Linked DNA regions of Astyanax mexicanus. The protein of the gene in region 2 interacts with the protein of the main gene of each other region in a biochemical or structural test. Links are inferred from orthologs where the notes say so. Each region holds a gene or a part of one and is shown on either strand. Other genes may lie near its edges.

Evidence for each region.
Region 1: the proteins of src substrate cortactin (region 2) and actr3 form a complex in vitro, tested with the Homo sapiens proteins (3 studies listed by BioGRID). The link is inferred for Astyanax mexicanus from reciprocal best matches to the Homo sapiens genes CTTN and ACTR3.

Annotation. Positions count from the first base shown.
Region 1 is NC_064418.1:35,512,112-35,521,304, forward strand, and holds the start of actr3 (actin-related protein 3), read right to left. Parts: upstream 4,413-9,193; 5' UTR 4,259-4,412; coding exon 4,215-4,258; intron 1-4,214. Other genes in the region: solute carrier family 35 member F5, read left to right, coding at 6,981-6,994, 7,153-7,258, 7,860-8,009. UniProt on the Homo sapiens protein: ATP-binding component of the Arp2/3 complex, a multiprotein complex that mediates actin polymerization upon stimulation by nucleation-promoting factor (NPF).
Region 2 is NC_064416.1:8,138,704-8,148,309, reverse strand, and holds the start of src substrate cortactin, read right to left. Parts: upstream 3,839-9,606; 5' UTR 3,684-3,838; intron 1-3,683.

The DNA.
Region 1 (9,193 bases), on a different chromosome or scaffold from region 2:
GGGTGCGACATAATTCCCAGATTTGACACACGACACTGAATTAAATGGAACACAGTCCGAGGATGCTCAGATTTTCAAAACTATCAAAAGGTATTAAACAAAAAATATATCATTAATCTAACATACCCCATCAAATCTTAGTAAAGCTTACTGTTACCAAGTTCATCAGGATACAATAACACCTAGCTAATAGAGCTAGATGACTTAGCCTAAACTTAAATCTAAACATCTCAGTCAGTCAAAAACAATACAAAGTCCAGTTAGGCTTTATTGTAAAGCATATTTCATTCAGTACCTCAAATCTGAGAACACCACTTATATTTCCAGCATTAAAGTGAGTCTTTGTGGACAGGCATGCTTTAGCTCTGATTTCAGACTGGCCTGAATCCAAAACAAGCAACCACACCTGATAAGCTACAACACACCTTACAGGAACAAGGCCTTGCTGGTTTCCTGGTCAATCTTAAGTCCAGGCAAATGATGTGAGGTATATATTTCCCCTGTCATTATAAAGCATTTGCATCTAAAAGACCAAACTACAGAGCACCCAGTGAACAGAGCAGGTCAGTTTTCAAAAGATTGAGCAGTCAAGATAACATTTTCTTAGGTTAAAATAAACTAGCTTTGGACTGGAATGGATGGAAAGCTGCACTAAAATGTTTGTTTAAGTGTAATAAAATATTCATGCTTTAGATCAGAACTGGACCAAAAATCTTAGCTCTACATAAGTCTATTTATCTAAGGAAGTGACCACCACACTTCGACTACAGCACATCTGTAAAATTGTGCACTGTCAGGAAACTAAAAATACTAAAAGCAAACATTACTCCAGCCCTGACTCTTCAGAACAAGAGTTGAAGAGGGAAGCAGAAGCAGAAGCAGAAGCAGCCTCAACATGACGAGGATTTGATGCTGGTCAAATTTCTCCATTGCGTTATGAGTTATAAAAAGCAGTGGTGCAGACCATGCAGAGAAGTTCAGGTCAGAGAGAGGATGTGAGGCTTTCACACATCTCAGACTGGGTTACACACAAACACACACACACACACACATAAACACACACACACACACACACACACACACACACACACACACACACACACACACACACACACACACAAACACAAACACACACACACACACACACACACACAAAAAAAACACACACACACATCTGTGCTACAGAAACAGCCTACTCTTCCCCATCCATTCTCTGAACAGATGCTTGTAATGGCTCAAAGCGAAGGGGGTGGAGGGAAAGGTATGCAGTGAGGAATGTTCAAGTCTCAACATGTTGACACTTCAGAGGGAACAGCCTTCACCACATACCAAGTTCAGTATAAAAGTATATATGCATCAACAACTTTACAGAGAACAGATAAAATCTATATTGTGCAAAAAGGGAGATGAGGTGAAGGAAAAGGGGAAAGAAAGAGGCCCTTTAGCAACAGCTGAAGTCAAGCAGAGCCAAGTACTGTCACTAAATATATAAGGATGCGTTTTAATATTGCTGCTGTTGCGCCAAAAGCTCATATTTGTTTCTGTATTTGGCATAGTTTAAAAGTGGTAGCTTCAAATGAACAATACTGACAATAATATTGACAGAGCAATAAAATGGTCCAAAATTACTTGGAATAAAACAATTTAATTTTACTTTAATTAAAAATGAAAAAAAAAAATTCTCCTGTGAAGTTGCTATTTTGGAAATACAAGGATTTGCAAGACAGCAATCATATACTGTTTAACAAATACAAACTCTGCGAACGATCCTTGTTAGTGCTGAGAATAATAAGACTGGACAGGATAATACGGTTTTATAAGCTCAGTATAAGGCTGAGCAGGACAATAAGGCTGTATAATCTCTATGCATACGCTTATGCTGAGTATATGGCTTAATAGAATAATATGGCTATACACCATGTACTACTGCTGAGTACTGAGTACTGAGTAAATGATGATGGCTTAATAGAATAATATGGCTATACACCATGTACTACTGCTGAGTACTGAGTACTGAGTAAATGATGTATAAATGTAGAGTATAATGCAGTTATAGCATAATATGGAGAGAAAAGCTATAAGTCTACATATAATAGGGTTGTGTCTGCTGTTAATGTTGAGTTTAATAAACATGAAAGTATAATCACAGGTGGTACAAAATCTTTATTAGTGTGGGGCATAGTATGTCTGGGGAAAATAAGACTGAGGTATAAAACTATTGCTAAACAATGCTGTTTATTTAGTGCTGAGAAAAACAGCAGTTATAGTAGTATAAAGGATGACTATGCAGTTAAGAGTTTGGTTTAATTAATATTAAGGGTACAACAGGTATAGAGTGTATAAGCGGTATTAAAATAAAATTAAGTGATAAAAGAGTGTTAATGCTGGTTATAAGGTGTAATAATATAATAAGGTCGTGTAACGGTTAGACCTTAATAACACTGTTCTCATTTCCCATGAAATATTGACTAGAGACAGAGCATATCTGTACAGTATCATTAATTTTACTTCAATCCTGGGTATATGGAGTGCATTATTAGTATCTTGACATGTTAGATGATTGACTTACTTATTGTTACAATCTGTTGAAAATCTCAACTAGGGATAGGCCTTCCATGATAATTTTTGTGGATGATATATTGTCACAAAATTATTTTAATAAACTATATTATTGCCATTTTAAGACCAGTTACATAATGAAAAAAAAATCAATTATACCCTTTAAATACAACATTTTAATTAAACACAGTTTGGTAAATATATACTTTTTTCCAGCTACTGCAGTTATGACACATTTGCAAACAGTAATTTTTGTTACCGCAAAAATATCCTAAGATACTGTGATATTACACTGCCTGGCTGAAAAAAAGCTCACACACTAATATTTCATTGAGGTTAAGGTCTGGACTCTGTGGTGAACAATGCATGTGTAAAAATGCTGATCTTATACTCCCGGAACCACTCTTTTACAATTCCAGCTCAATCCTGACATTGTCATCTTGGAATATGCTCGTGCAATCAGGAAAGAAAAAATCCATTGATGGAATAACCTGCTCTATATTCAATATATTTAGGTAGTCAGCTGACCTCATTCATTTGCTTAGTTAAATCCAGGTGCAGACTTTTTTTTGGCCAGACAGTGTACAATTGCATGACAAAGCAATTATATCCTTTTAAAAAGACATTTTAATTAAACATAGTTTTGGACATATAAATGTTTTTCTTCACTCTCTACAGTCATGCTAAACTTGCAAACAGTCACTCTTGTTATCACAGCAATATCCTGAGATATTGTGATATTATTTTAGTGCTGAGTATGTCAGAGCAGTATAAGGTGGAGGTATAAAATGTGGTTGTGTTATTGTCAGGTAGCTATATTGCAGCTAAATACTATAACAATGCTATATATGCTGGGTATAACAAGGCTGGGGTTGGTGCTGCTGTATATTTGATAGAATTAGCCGTTAGCTGGGTTTGTTATCTAGGTTAGCTTCAGTGCTGAGGAGAAGCAGCATCCAAAACCAAGCGCAAAGTTCAGTTTCAGAAACACCACTACAAACTACAAACACAAAACCGACCCTTTTACCATTGGTTAAACACGGTCTGTTGCCGCAGGACAGAATAAAACACAGCTAACCTAACTAAAATCCCGTCCAAACGTCAAACACGACCATATATGGAGCAAAAAGCGAGAAGCAGGAAGCGGCTCTGACTGTCAGTAAAATTAGGAAGTTGGACTGCGCATGCGCGGCGCCACTCAGAATGAGTTTTGCAGAATTTATCAGGCAATGTGGGTTTTTAGGAGAATCCTGACCTGATAAAACCTGGAAACCCGCACACTGCGCTTACTGTCGCAGTCTGTAAACATGTGTGCATGTTCAACATGAGCTGGAATGAAGCGTTTTGATGATATGTAGCTACACATCTCGCCAGTGAAAGCCCATTCCAGGCTTCATAACGTTAGCTAACCTAGCATTGCACACAGCCACCACCCAAACCCAGGCTCCTCATCCACCCCAGCAGCAGAGCTGTTCTGACACCCCGTCCACTGTGGACAAAAGCAGAGCTGCGTGTCTACAGGAAAAGCGACCACAGGCTCGTATATTAGCGGGTTTCTACTGGAAGATAATAGATCTAACAGAGCACATCCACATCCACACACCCAGAGCTGCTGCTGCTGCTACTGCCACTGTGGAATCGGCTGGAAAACTCACCCTGTGCCGCAATCCACAACGCACGCCGGCAGCCTCCCAGCCATTTCTCCGCTCTGCGCTGTTTTAGAAGCCGGTATTAAAGCTTTCTGCCTCCAGAAGAGCAGCACAGTGTGGTCAGCGGCCAATCTAAAGGCGGAACCCTTAAGTTTTCAGCCACTTCCGCACTCGGTCGGCACTCAGCGGAGAGAAAATGGCCGTCGCCGGTGAGGAGGGGGGACGGAGGGCGCATGCGCATTGACGCCTACAGGCAGACAGAGGGGCGAGTGTCAGCTCAAACCATAGATTGTCTGTCTACGTCTATGGCTCAAACCTTAAAAATGTGTTTTTAGTATAAATTCTCCTTTTATTCCAAGATAAAACCATAACAGACACAATTCAAACATTGTACAGACAGAAATAAGGTGCCAACAGTCAAATAACAGATCTGAGTTCACGTTTAACACTCGTTAAAGTAACTAAAATCTTTTTGCAAATCAGTTTTAAGGAGAAAGATTACAATCTTTTTGAAAAGTAATTCGAATCAATTTTCAGAAAAAATGTAATTCTTTAAAAAGTTGTCTAAATCCAGTTTTCTGAAAGATTCGATAAAAAAGCAGTTTGAATCTATGATCCGTTTAAAAGATTCGAATCTTTTTGAAAAGGAGTTCCAATTAGTTTTCAGGAAGTTCGAATAATAATAATGTTTGATGCAGCTTACATGAAAAATCTCTTTGTAAAAATGGTTCTAAAATGCGTTATTATATATAAAGTAGAATACAAAATCTCATAAAACTCACACCACACATATTTATAGTTTCTTCACACATATTCATTGGCTTACTTAATAATTTACCTCAGGCAATTTTTTTATTGTATTGTATTGTATTTTTGGCATATCCTATAAGTCCACCTAATTTCGTAGGAATGCAGAATCATTACTGTTAGATCATTGTTAGATGAACTGCAGTAAATAAAGTAAATTGTTCCTTATAAGAGTGGAGATATAAGGTTATATTTATCAGATGGTGAATCGACCGAAAAGTGTCACGCCAAACTTGCAAATAGTTGCTCCGCCTGTTTTGCATTCTGGGAGATGAAGTTTTAGTACGTAAGCTACAGGACAGAGTACCAGAACTAGGAACTACATTTACCATGATGCTGATGCGCTAAGTGAAGTCATGAGTAGGAGACCGAGCTCATAAAACTCATGTAAATATTTACCACCCAGTCGAGTTATTATCCTTTACAAAGCCGCAGATTGTTCGTAACCTCGCCTGATAAACGCATGAAGACGGGTTTCGAGGCCGTGCCGACTGAAGCAGGTACTGTAGCTAAATGTCTACATATAACCTACATGTAGTGTTTAATAGCTAACACTAACATTAGCTAGATTAACCGAGGAGCCGAATTACCAAGAGCTCCAGTCTGCTTTCTGCTCTCTGTACCTCTCTGACTGACTGACCGCTGCGCTGCTTATCAAAACACAGCTGATTTTTTCCTAAACAGAGCTGAGTGTAATGATATTTAGGTAAAATTATAAATTAAAATGTATCATAGTCTCAATGTCACAAGCCTCTGTTCACTACTCTGTCAAGAAGTCTAAAATAAAGACCAACAGGTTAAAGAACTCGTTCTTCCCCAACTGCCACCAGAGCTCAGAAATAACCCTGCACTTTACTGTCTACATTCACAGTCATTTTACTGTAGCACAGCTTTATAATTGCATTACTGTTCATTTAGCATTTTTATCATATCTCCTTACTGTAGATAAGTAATGTTCTTGTTTGTGAATAATATCTATATTATATAGTGCTGTGATTTTGTTGTATTCTTGTTGTAAATGTAACAGCATTTTAGTGAGTATTTTTATATTTGGTAAGTTTATTATTTGCTTTATTGTATTTTTTCTTTTAATTAGTGTGGGGCGGTATGACCAAAATGTCTATCACTGTATTTTTTAAGGTTCTGTCGCTTTCATGGTATATCACAGTATTATTATTATTTTATTTATTTATTGTTTTGGCATGACTGGGCTTTTATATTGGTTTGTGACTTGATGTACTGTTAGGAGTATATCTAATATCAAACATTAAGTCTTTGATTACTATTGGTTTTACTTTGTCCCATAAAATCACCTTTCTTTTACAAAACACTGTGAATTGACCTAAAATACCTTTTAAGTTTAAGGTATTAAAAAAACATTTCTCTATTGCACAAGTAAAACACAAGTTAAACATCAATTTACAATATGTTATTAATGAAGCCATTAGAGACTTTACAGTATTAAAAAACCACAATTCTCTTCTTTTTTCAGTTAAAAATTAAATTCAGTGTGCATTAATATTATCCTTCAAGCTATATTATAAATATATTTAAAAGGATATTTTTCCTAAGTGAATAATTGCTGTTTTCTGTTGTTTTTATATTTTACTTGGATAAAAAGACCCATAAAGTGCTGTTCTCAAATTTCTCTCCAGGCAGGAGAGTGCTAGACAAGCGTGTATTAGCTTGTTTTGCTTACTCGTTAGCGTTAGCAAACAAACTCTGCCAGTAGGGCTGAACGATTAATCGTTTTTTAATTGAAATCATGATTTAAATGGACACGATTCATTGGTAGCATGGTCATTAATAATAACTGCAAACGACTGTCTGTTTGGTTATTTACATTATAACTTATTTATTTTACTGTTCTAAGGTCTTTGCTCTGGCTTTTAGTGATTGTGTGATGCAGGCTTTGTGCCACATCGTGGAGAGAGAGGCTGGCCGAGACCGGTGTGTCCGTTTCTAATGCGTCCGGCACGGTAAGGACCTTCACTCAACCAATAGGGTTGGATGTGTTGCTGGTTTTGTGCTAAATATTTGCATTGCAGAACACTTACCCACATACACTGTTTGCAATGCATACATATAAGCCAGATGTAAATAACGCATTACCTCCATTGCTTGCGTGTATGTGTAGGATGAGTTGGGGGGTATGTGGTGCCCAGAAGAGGAGGCTGGTGCTGGGCGTGGTCATCCTGCTGCTTGTGGATGTGATCTGGGTTGCGTCATCTGAACTCACTGCAGTAAGATCTACATACAGTACACATTTTTTACACACATTTACACATAATATGCTTGTATAATGTGCTATGCTCTATACTTCTTTTCCCTTTTAGTATTATTATTGTTAAATGGTCCATATTAAAACTAAATGCTTTAAACCTGCTCTTCGTTCCCCAGGCCATACATTTATGAAAGTTGACCTACAGAAGCAGTCCCTTTTAAATTCATAATGGCTGTGATGTTATAACCTTGCCCTTTTCTATTCATCGCCCAATCATCTTTCACCAGCTTAAGACATCTAATGTATTGTAATTTATAAGTGGTGAGAAAAAGATGAAAAGTAAAAAGCTTTCCTTTCTAAAGGATTCAGATATGCAAAGGATTTTAGTCCTTGACATTTGTTCAGACTGTAAGAGCTAAGAGTGTGTTATGTACACTTCAGATAGGGCTGTCTTTTCAAAGTGTGCTTTGTTTAATTTTTAAAAGGGTTGAGGTAGTAAGAACATATTTTATAAGTATGTATCAGAATTAAAGATAAACTCACTGGCTTGAGTTCTGGAAAACAAAATGGATGAAATACATGACTTCCTTACGTGGGTTGTGTTTGTTTGTGTGTTTCAGTACATCTTTGTGCAGAAGCAGTACAGTAAGCCGTTCTTCAGCACCTTTGTGAAGACCTCCATGTTCGTGTTGTATTTACTTGGATTCCTCTTCTGGAAACCATGGAGGCAGCAGTGTGCAGCTCGTTATCAGCAGCAGCTCAGCAGCCTCGTGAGTTCTCCAGATAACTTTGTCTTGCTTTTGATAGTTTGTATTTTTAATATAAGTAATCCTTACATGGTAAAGGTTTGTGACATCCATTGGTAGGCTGGTTAAAAAAATGTGGATATTTTTCCTAATGTCTAAACTGTGGGTCAATTTCCACTGTAAACAGAAGCAGGATAAGCACTGGGCAACACATCTTGGAAATATCTCAGCAAAAATAAATTACTTGCTTATATGTTTTTTTGGACTGTGGGAGGAAACCGTTCGAAAACCCACGCAGACAAGGTGACTGATGGGACTTGAACCCAGGACCCCAGCGCTGGAAGGCAAACGTGCTAACCACCAGTGTTGTTCCAATTCACAGCTTTTCTGAACTAGTTCCAGTTCAGTTCATACATGCTCAAAGTGAACAGTTCACGTTCAAAGTTCACGATTTGAATTCTGAACTAGTTCAAAGTTGAGTTCATTTTACTTTTTTTGTGAGATATTCAAATAAATGCTTTTTTTTTCACACTACAAGCTAGAAATCACTATACGTTCTTTGAAACTGCTCATTGTAGACATTTGCTCATGACACTGCAATTGTGGGTTTCTTACCAGGTGATGAAACAGCAGTACAAAGTGTTTTAAGTGTTCATAAGGAGAATCGGTGTCTGTCTCCATCCCATCACTTCCACTAGCCATTGTTTTTCAAATTGCAGCGCTTTCTCTCACTCTCGTCATTGGTCTGTCACTCTCTCTCTCTCGCTCTCTCTCTCGCGCACTTGCTCCTCCAGCGAGAATACAGGAGGGAGGAACTTTCTCTTGTTGCGTTTCAAAAGAGAAAACAGATGTCACTCAGTTTTCAATGGAAAACAAATTCCAACGTTTATTTACAGGGATGTCTGCCGTTCATGAAACATAAAGTGAACTAATTCACGTTCAAGTTCTTTATTAACAAATGTGTTGCGTTCAGTTCAACGTTCACGAAAAACGCACAAAACTGCTAACCACTAAGCCACTGTGCCTCCCAGAAACAAAGACTTCACTATACTATAAGGTGCACCAGATTATAAGGCGCACTATCAATAAACGTCTATTTTCTGGTCTATTTTCATACACAAGGCGCACCAGATTATAGACAACAATAAAACAAAACTGTAAGTCAGACAAGTCAAACGAGAGCTGGATATTAATCTACACAGATTTCA
Region 2 (9,606 bases):
GCCTGACTCAGCAAACCAGCAGGCCTGATTCAGCCTCACACACATCTGCAGCTCATCAGCACAGCACTGTCTGCCTTACATCAGCTCTTCAGAAGAACAATCACACAGCCTCAAACTGATACTGAGAAGGCATAAACTCAAACACGATTCTCTGCAGGTATTTTAGCCCATTTTTCATCACTGAATAAATAAAACAGCCAAACACCCCTTTTAAATATCCATACCTATAAAGCAATAAAAGCAACAATACTTTTACATCATTTTTAAGAAGAAAAAAAAAATCAGACTGACCGAACTAAATAACCAGAATAACCCTGCACCTTACACTCTACACGTTTACATGTTATTTTACAGAGGCATATGCTCACTTTACAGTAATTTTATAATAGCACTACTGAAAGTTTTGCACTTTTTTCTTATTCCACTGCTGTAGATAACATATACTTACTTGTAAATAATATCCATAACATATTCTTTTTTCATGTATATATTTCCATCCTGGATGTAAATTTAACACCAATTTAATATTTATATTTAGTTAGTTTATTTCTTTCTTTATTGTATATTTTCTACTTTTATCTTTATGCAGCATACTTGGCGAGGAGCAAAGAAAGAATTTCATTGTACGAGAAAACTTGTTTCTTACTGTGCACATGACAATAAACTCTTTAAATCTTGAATCTGAGCTGAGTCTGAGCGATTCATTCGCTGCAGCCTGTAGGAAGGAACTCCCGAATCATATTGACTAACTTACGAAAAATATTGTCTGACTGCCGACTGCACATTTCGGCTGAAAATTGATTAATGTTTCCATCTCTACGTTTGCCCTCCATAATAATGAATGAATGATCATTTTAATAAACAATGCACATGTTGTAAAGTGGACAGGGTGGAGTCACATGACTACACACGCTACAGTACGTTTTCAAAGGGACATGTACATTACCACACACTAGAGGTGGACAATATGGCCCTAAAATTAGGGATGCACCGATGCAAAAATTGTGGTTAAATGACTGCATATTTCGGCAAAAAAAAAAAATTGAAGGTTCTTATAATTTATATACTTTTTTTTTCATTTCAGTACATTACTAACAATAACACAAACAACTGCATCAGTTAAAGATTCTAAATGTTGGTTTTGATTAATTGCCTAGTCTTTCAATTATTTGACTATGTAAATATTTTAGCTTAGCATGCTACCTAAGCTAACACAGAGCAACAGGTCTGAGATGATCACTCCAGCTAATACTGACCAACTGTTCAGGCTAACAGGTTTAACTGAGACTCACAGGATTAATTTAAGCTAAGACACGATGAAGCTCATGAAGTGGGAGCATTAGGGTTTTGTGTGGCTCATTTCTGACAGTATCTGAGCTCAGAAGAATCTTGTGATAATAGATTAGAATATTCTGAGTGAATGAATAAAGCACTTTATTAAGTCATAATGCATTGAATTAAAATCAGGAAGTACTTACTGCTTTTTAAGGCATTTTAATGTTAAAATAAATAATTATTTTAAAAGAATAGCAAGTCGCTACCAAACATTTTTATACTGAACAAGGTGCAAAAATAACCACTTTGTCAAAATATGAAAGGTTTCTGACAGAAGCACAATCTAGAGATAAATAATTCAATGAACCTCCCAGCACTAGCTCTAATTATGATATAGCATTTTTACTATATTTCCCACCCTTACATGTGAGATTATGCTGCTGTTGTTGATTTAGGTAGTGTTAAACAAGGTCTGCAGTGTTTGGTGTTTTGTGTCATTAGTGGTGTTTGTTACCTCTGCTACTCACTGTATGGGCTGAAAGATGCACTCTAGAGAGCGGTACTATTTGGTTAGTGGAGTTAAAATCTTTATTCTGGAGTTAAAATCTTTATTCTCTTTCAAGGCACAATAATCCTATGCATATGAACTGCAGGAACAACAAAGAAACAAGGTGTCCATAGACAGGGATTAAGCCTTTTGTCTACATTTATTTCCTTTAAATGGGAAAATTTCCATTCTTAAATGCTACGTAGCCCAATATAGCTGTATTATCTAAACATGTTTCATTTATTTACATAATTATTGTCACATAGTCTAATCTCATTCACAAAAGACATACATATACATACAGCTCTGGAAAAAATAAGACCAATTCAAAAAGAAGAGTTCCTTTGATTTTATAAAATTGAAAACCTCCTGGAATTTAATCAAGAGGAAGATGGATGATCACAAGCCATCAAACCAAACTGAACTGCTTGAATTTTTGCACCAGGAGTAAAGGCTTAAAGTTATCAAAAAGCAGTGTTTAAGACTGGTGGAGGAGAACATGCACTGATGCATGAAAACTGTGATTAAAAACCAGGGAATCAATATTCCATCAAATATTACACCAAAAAAAAAAAAGCTCTGCATCTTTTTTGTTATTTCAGCAATTTCTCATTTTCTGCAAATAAATGCTCTAAATGGCAATATTTGGAATTTTGAATCAGAAAAAATCAGAAAAAATCAGAAACTTAGGTGGTCTCTTAATTTCTTTCCAAAGCGGTATATAAAATACACATTACATATTTACTGTATTGCCCACCTTTACACATAGGATTGCTATAGAAACCCTCCAGCATCACTGTAAGGAAGTTCAACATTCACCAAAATAGGAGGAAACAATCCTCCTCTAGGCCACTGTGTACAGATTTAAGTGCTTCAGGAGCAATAAGTGGAGTATCAGTATAAAGCAGGACGTAACACACACCACACCCAGTTCTAGAAGTGTGTGATAGAGAGACTGTGTGTGTGTCTGTGTGTGAGGCCTGTAGTAGTAGCTCCCATTACACAACACTAACTCCTTTGCTCAGTTTCATTAGACAGGGATTAAGCCTAGGTACTGTCTATATTTTTCCTATAAATGGGAAAATCTCCATTCTAAATGCTTTGCAGTCCAATATTAGCTGTCTACATCCAAACATTAATTTTATATATTTATTTGCATCATTTCTGTCACACATTTTAGTAGTAATAGAGGGGGAAACCATCCTCCTCTAGGCCACTCTGTACAGACTTAAGTGCTATAGGAGCAATAAGTGCCAAACACTAGTAGTAGTACTAGTAGTAGTAGTATTATTAACTAGGCTAGTCTCTGTGTGGATACACCCATTTAGCTGCATTTCTATTGCTATTTTTATAAATATAAATGCAAATAAAGGCTTTTGCCATTGTTACTAATACTCTAACAGTGTTAATTATTCATAAATTAAGGTCCTTAATAACGTTATTTAGCTAGAGATTATAAAAAAGAGCTTTAAGTGCCACATCAGCCAGCAGAGAATGAGGCTGAAATTGGCTGCTTCCTTCAGGAATTCTTCCGTTCCACCTTAAAACAGCGCAGACACCATATTGCAACTGCTGCACCATTTAAGGTGGACCGGAAAATTCCAAACACAAGCTTCCAATTAGATTTTAGCTATTTTTAACATCAGCTCAGCCCAACACTGAGATGTTAAAATAATATCTACGTTTAAAAGAAGCTGTATATTTAATATAAACCCTGTAATTAGTGTTTTTAATCGTTAAACAGACTGTAAAGCGGGGTCTGTATCCAGCCCTGTGGCTGATTCAGCTCCGTCCCGCTGATTCCAGAAGCTTCCCCCCCGGGCCCCGAGCTCCCCGGCCGGTATCAGCGGGCTGTACTCACGCTTTGCTCCGGTTCGGCTCGGGAATCCTAGGTTAAAGCGGTTTAACTGCGGGTTTTAGGTGAATATCTCTCCGCGCTGAAATGGTGGGATGATTATTCCTCCTCTCCGCTCCACTCTTCCTGCTCTCCCACTTCCTGCGACTGAAGCTGCAGCGCCCCCTGCGGTGAAGAACCGGTACTGCAGCGCCGGAGCACAGCACTGATTTGAAGAGAAGAGAAGAGAAGAGAAGAGAAGAGAAGAGAAGAGAAGAGAAGAGAAGAGAAGAGAAGAGAAGAGAAGAGGTCAAAAGTTTGGACAAGACCTGAGAAGAGAAGAGAAGACAAGACAAGGCAAAAGAAGACAGGAGAAAGGAAGAGAAGGGAAGACAAGACAAGACAAGATCCGACAAAACAAGAGAAGACAAGACAAGGAAAAAGAAGACAAGAGAAAAGAAGAGAAGGGAAGACAAGACAAGGAAAAAGAAGACAAGAGAAAGGAAGAGAAGGGAAGACAAGACAAGACAAGATCCGACAAAACAAGAGAAGACAAGACAAGGAAAAAGAAGACAAGAGAAAAGAAGAGAAGGGAAGACAAGACAAGACAAGCATACAGTGCCAGTCAAAGTTTGGACCTGGGAAGAGAAGCGAAAGAGAAGACAAGAAATGACAAGCATGCATTGCCAGTCAAAAGTTTGGACAAGACCTGAGAAGACAAGACAACACATAACAAGACAAGACAATAGAAGACTTGCCTTGTCTTCTTTTACTTTGTTATCTCCCTTTATCTTTCTTGTCAAGTCTTTCCCAAACTTTTGATTGTTACTGTATGGTTGTTTTGTCTTCTATTCTCTTATCCAACTTTTGACCGCTACTGTATGATTGTGTTGTATTGTCAGGCCACCATACAGTACCTGTCAAAAGTTTGGATAAGAGAAGAGAAGACAAAACCACCATAGAGTACCAGTCAAAAGTTTGGACACCGCTCTTCTAATTTAATGTGTTTAGTGTCTTTTTATGATTTGTCACATTGTAAATTTAATATTAAAGTCATCATTTAGAAGGCATTTAGTACTCACTTTTGAAATACAGTAGTCACTTCAAGTTTCATATTCATGCTGCATGTGAAACTGTTCCCCTATTACCATCACAAAGGACTGAAGGGCAGTGTAAAGGTGTGTTAGAAATGTGTAAAGGGTGTAAATTGTGCTTTAGCAGGGCAAAGGTGTGTTACAGCAGTGTAAACGGTGTTCTAGTGCTGTAATGAGTCAGACAGGTGTAAAGCTGGTTTTAATGATATAAACATGTGTAAAGCTGAATAAGGTTTTATATGTATTATATTTTCTGTATTAATTCATAGAATGTGGATATGATCAGGGTGGGTAATCAGATATTAAGGACAAAGGTGAAGTTTAAATGGTGGCAATCTCTGGACAGCAGAGCAGAGCCACTATGTTTTCATTTGAATTAAACATTACAGATCAGAACTTACCATCCAACTTAGAAATTAAATGTCCCATCCATCTGGCACCCACTATCTGTCCTCACTCAAACCCTGACAGTTCGCCTTTCTGTGAGCATATTGGTCAGTGTTCGGCTTCACTCACAAAATCACACCTAACAACTTATATACAGCTCTGGAAAAAATTAAGAGATTTTGTTGATTTATTCTATAAACTACGGACAACATTTCTCCCTAATTCCAAAAATAAATATTGCCATTTAGAGCATTTATTTGCAGAAAATGAGAAATGGCTGAAAAATCAAAAAAGATGCAGAGCTTTTAGACCTCAAATAATGCAAAGAAAACAAGTTCATATTCATAAAGTTTTAAGAGTTCAAAAATCAATATTTGGTGGAATAACCCTGGTTTTTAATCACAGTTTTCATGCATCTTGGCATCATGTTCTCCTCCACCAGTCTTACACACTGCTTTTGGATCATTTGTTTTGGCCACTCCTGGTGCAAAAACTTAAGCGGTTTAGCTTGGTTTGATGGCTTGTGATCATTCATCTTCCTCTTGATTATATTCCAGAGTTTTTTTTATTTAGTAAAATCAAAGAAACTCATCAGTTTTAAGTGGTCTTTTATTTTTTTCCAGAGCTGTATCTTTCTAGACTTTTAGATGTAAATCTGATCTAAGAATTACGCTCTTTACAGACCACTTGAATAGTCCGAAAACTGCAGAAATGTGATAATAATCCAATTAATGAGTGTGTGTATGTATGTATGTGCTGACAAAGCCATATACTGAGGTAAAATCCAGCTCTATCACTTTTAGATCTTAATCTGAGACCTAAAGAATACGTGCATGTTTCTTGAATAATCAGAAAACTGCAGAAATCTGATTGTGATCTGATTATTAAGTGTATGTAAAGCTCTAGAAAAGAGAGAAAGGAGCACAAACACAAAAACACACCAGGTTTTTTTAACGCAAAGACTTAGTCTTTTTATTGGCAGTGGAAAATAAGTTTCAGTATTTTTTTATTGAAAGGAAGCAATAAATAATACTGTGATAAAAAATAGCTCATAAGTACTTGGACTGTACAGAACTTCTGTTACAAGATCAGGAGATTTTAAACAGAGAAAAACAATGCAGAGGAATCCAGGACATGATCAGACCTTGTGCATAATCGACTAAAAATCACAGAATATGAAGAGAGAATGAGGAAAAAGGAAAACGGGTGTTCAGGAGGATTCCATCACATTGCCTCCAGGTTAAAACACAGTCCAGCCTTTATTTCTGATATGACTCAGGATAAGAACAAATGTCTAAAATCACAGAAAAGAGGCTGAAATCACACAGAAATGTGGGGAATAAATAAAAACAGAGGGAGGACAGAGGAGAGAGGGAATAAGGCTCGATTAGTAGCAGGGTTTTAGTCAGAGGGGTTCAAAATCGCGCCACTCTCGGACACTGCAGTTTGAGCGTAGGCCACAGTGGGGTTGGTCCAGCGGAGAAAACACATACGTACACACACACCTGAAAATCCGAACACACACTCACACACACACACAGTCACTCGTTCCACACGTCGCTCCACGCGCAGGAGAAAAGGAATGGAAAGGTTCAGCACTCGAGGAACCGCAGAGATAAATCCAGTCTCCGGGTTTTCTTTTTTGCTGAAAAAGATGCATCCGAAAGTAGCCCTCGTCATCGCTACGTTTATGGCTTATCGAAGAGTTCGTGTTTTGGTATCAGAGGAGAGAAGGAAGAAAAAAAAGGGAAAATAAGGATCCATCCATCACTGACGCAACACAGTCTGTTGATAACTCGCTCTAAAATCTGCTTCAAATCTGATATTCAAATAATACAACCGCAGTCATCGTAAAAATCACAGAAACACGTCTCGAGAACCCAAAAGCAGGAAAGAAAGAGTGACGAAATTAAGTTAAAACCACATCAGTGTCACTTAAGCTCAAAATTTACCGTCGAAAAATGAACCAACGTAGATATGAAACAATTCCAAGATGAGGATTATTATAAAAAGATTAGATAACTGCCTGTAGATATAAATGTACAAACTTCAGATTCGTAATAATACATTCAGTTACACCTGATAAGAGTTAAACATGATAAGATGAACACAAAAAAGATAAAAAGAAGAGAGAGAGAGAGAGGGGTAGAAATGAGCAAACAAATGATACATAAACAACAAATAACTAAATAAATGAAATGTCCCATTGGTTTACATAAATAGAATAATCAATAAATCTAAAATATGTCCTCTAGGGGTGTGGATAAATCCTCCTCGGTGAAATATCTCAGAGTCCTTGCTGCTGGCTCAGCTCCTGTCCTGAAGAGGGCGCTTCGCTGTCCACGACATTACCTATAGAGATAATGAGCATAAACTAAGAGAGGGGAGGAGAGAAAGGAAGACAGACAAATGAGTGAAAGGAGGAACAAATGGACAGAGGGAAATAAAGAAAGAAATAAGAATGGTGGAGAGAACAGAAAGAGATGGCACAGGTGGGAGATGAACGAGAGAGACAAGAAAACAAAACAAAAAAAAGAAGCAAGAGAGACGTTTAACATTAGCGCCATGAATGCTAAAGCACATTAATCAGCATTAAATGCTAGCGATTAGCATGTGATTAAACAATGGTTAAGATATTACCTATGAAAGACATACCTGTAGACTAGAATAGAAGATATTAGTCCATAAACTACCTCAATAAACACTCCTATACACTAGAATAGGAGATATTAGTCCATAAACTCAATATCAATAGACACTCCTATACACTAGAATGAGATATTACTCCATAACCTCAACCTCAATAAACACCCCTACACTAGAATAGGAGATATTAGTTCATAAGCAACCTCAATAAACACTCCTATACACTAGAATAGGAGATATTAGTCCATAAACTCAATATCAATAGACACTCCTATACACTAGAATGAGATATTACTCCATAACCTCAACCTCAATAAACACCCCTACACTAGAATAGGAGATATTAGTTCATAAGCAACCTCAATAAACACTCCTATACACTAGAATAGGAGATATTAGTACATAAACAACCTCAATAAACACTCCTATACACTAGAATAGGAGATATTAGTTCATAAGCAACCTCAATAAACACTCCTATACACTAGAATAGGAGATATTAGTACATAAACAACCTCAATAAACACTCCTATACACTAGAATAGGAGATATTAGTACATAAACAACCTCAATAAACACTCCTATACACTAGAATAGGAGATATTAGTCCTTAAACTCAACCTCAATAAACACTCCTATACACTAGAATAGGAGATATTAGTCCATAAACCCAACCTCAATAAACACTCCTATACACTAGAATAGGAGATATTAGTCCTTAAACTCAACCTCAATTAACACTCCTATACACTAGAATAGGAGATATTAGTACATAAACAACCTCAATAAACACTCCTATACACTAGAATAGGAGATATTAGTACATAAACAACCTCAATAAACACTCCTATACACTAGAATAGGAGATATTAGTCCTTAAACTCAACCTCAATAAACACTCCTATACACTAGAATAGGAGATATTAGTACATAAACAACCTCAATAAACACTCCTATACACTAGAATAGGAGATATTAGTACATAAACAACCTCAATAAACACTCCTATACACTAGAATAGGAGATATTAGTCCATAAACTCAACCTCAATAAACACTCCTATACACTAGAATAGGAGATATTAGTCCATAAACTCAACCTCAATAAACACTCCTATACACTAGAATAGGAGATATTAGTCAATAAACAACCTCAATAAACACTCCTATACACTAGAATAGGAGATATTAGTCATTAAACTCAATCTCAATTAACACTCCTATACACTAGAATAGGAGATATTAGTCCATAAACTGAACCTCAATAAACACTCCTATACACTAGAATAGGAGATATTAGTCCATAAACTCAACCTCAATAAACACTCCTATACACTAGAATAGGAGATATTAGTCTAAACACAACCTCAATAAACACTCCTACACACTAGAGTAGAGGTTTCTGGATGCAGTGAGCTGTATAGTGACATTATTAGTGATATTAAGCAAGATTATAGATCGAAAAAGCATAAATCAGGTCATTCTGTTATGTGGTGGCCTAGTTAGAGAAGAGATGTCCCAGTAGATGTTAGCGTTAGCAGTGCAGTCAGTGAAACTCACCCTGGCGCTGGGTTAGCAGGAGTAGGTCCTGACCGTAGCTGAGTCCAGCCTCTGCACTCCACTCACACCCCCTACAGCAGCCAGCACATGCACAAGCAGCCATTAGTAGAGCAGACAGACACGTTAGACACACACACACACACACACACACATATACACACACATACACAAAGATCATTACTGCAAACACCCACACAGCCTCCAGTACATCTGACATCTTCTCGCGCAACACACATACAGATATAAAGAATTATTGCATTGCAA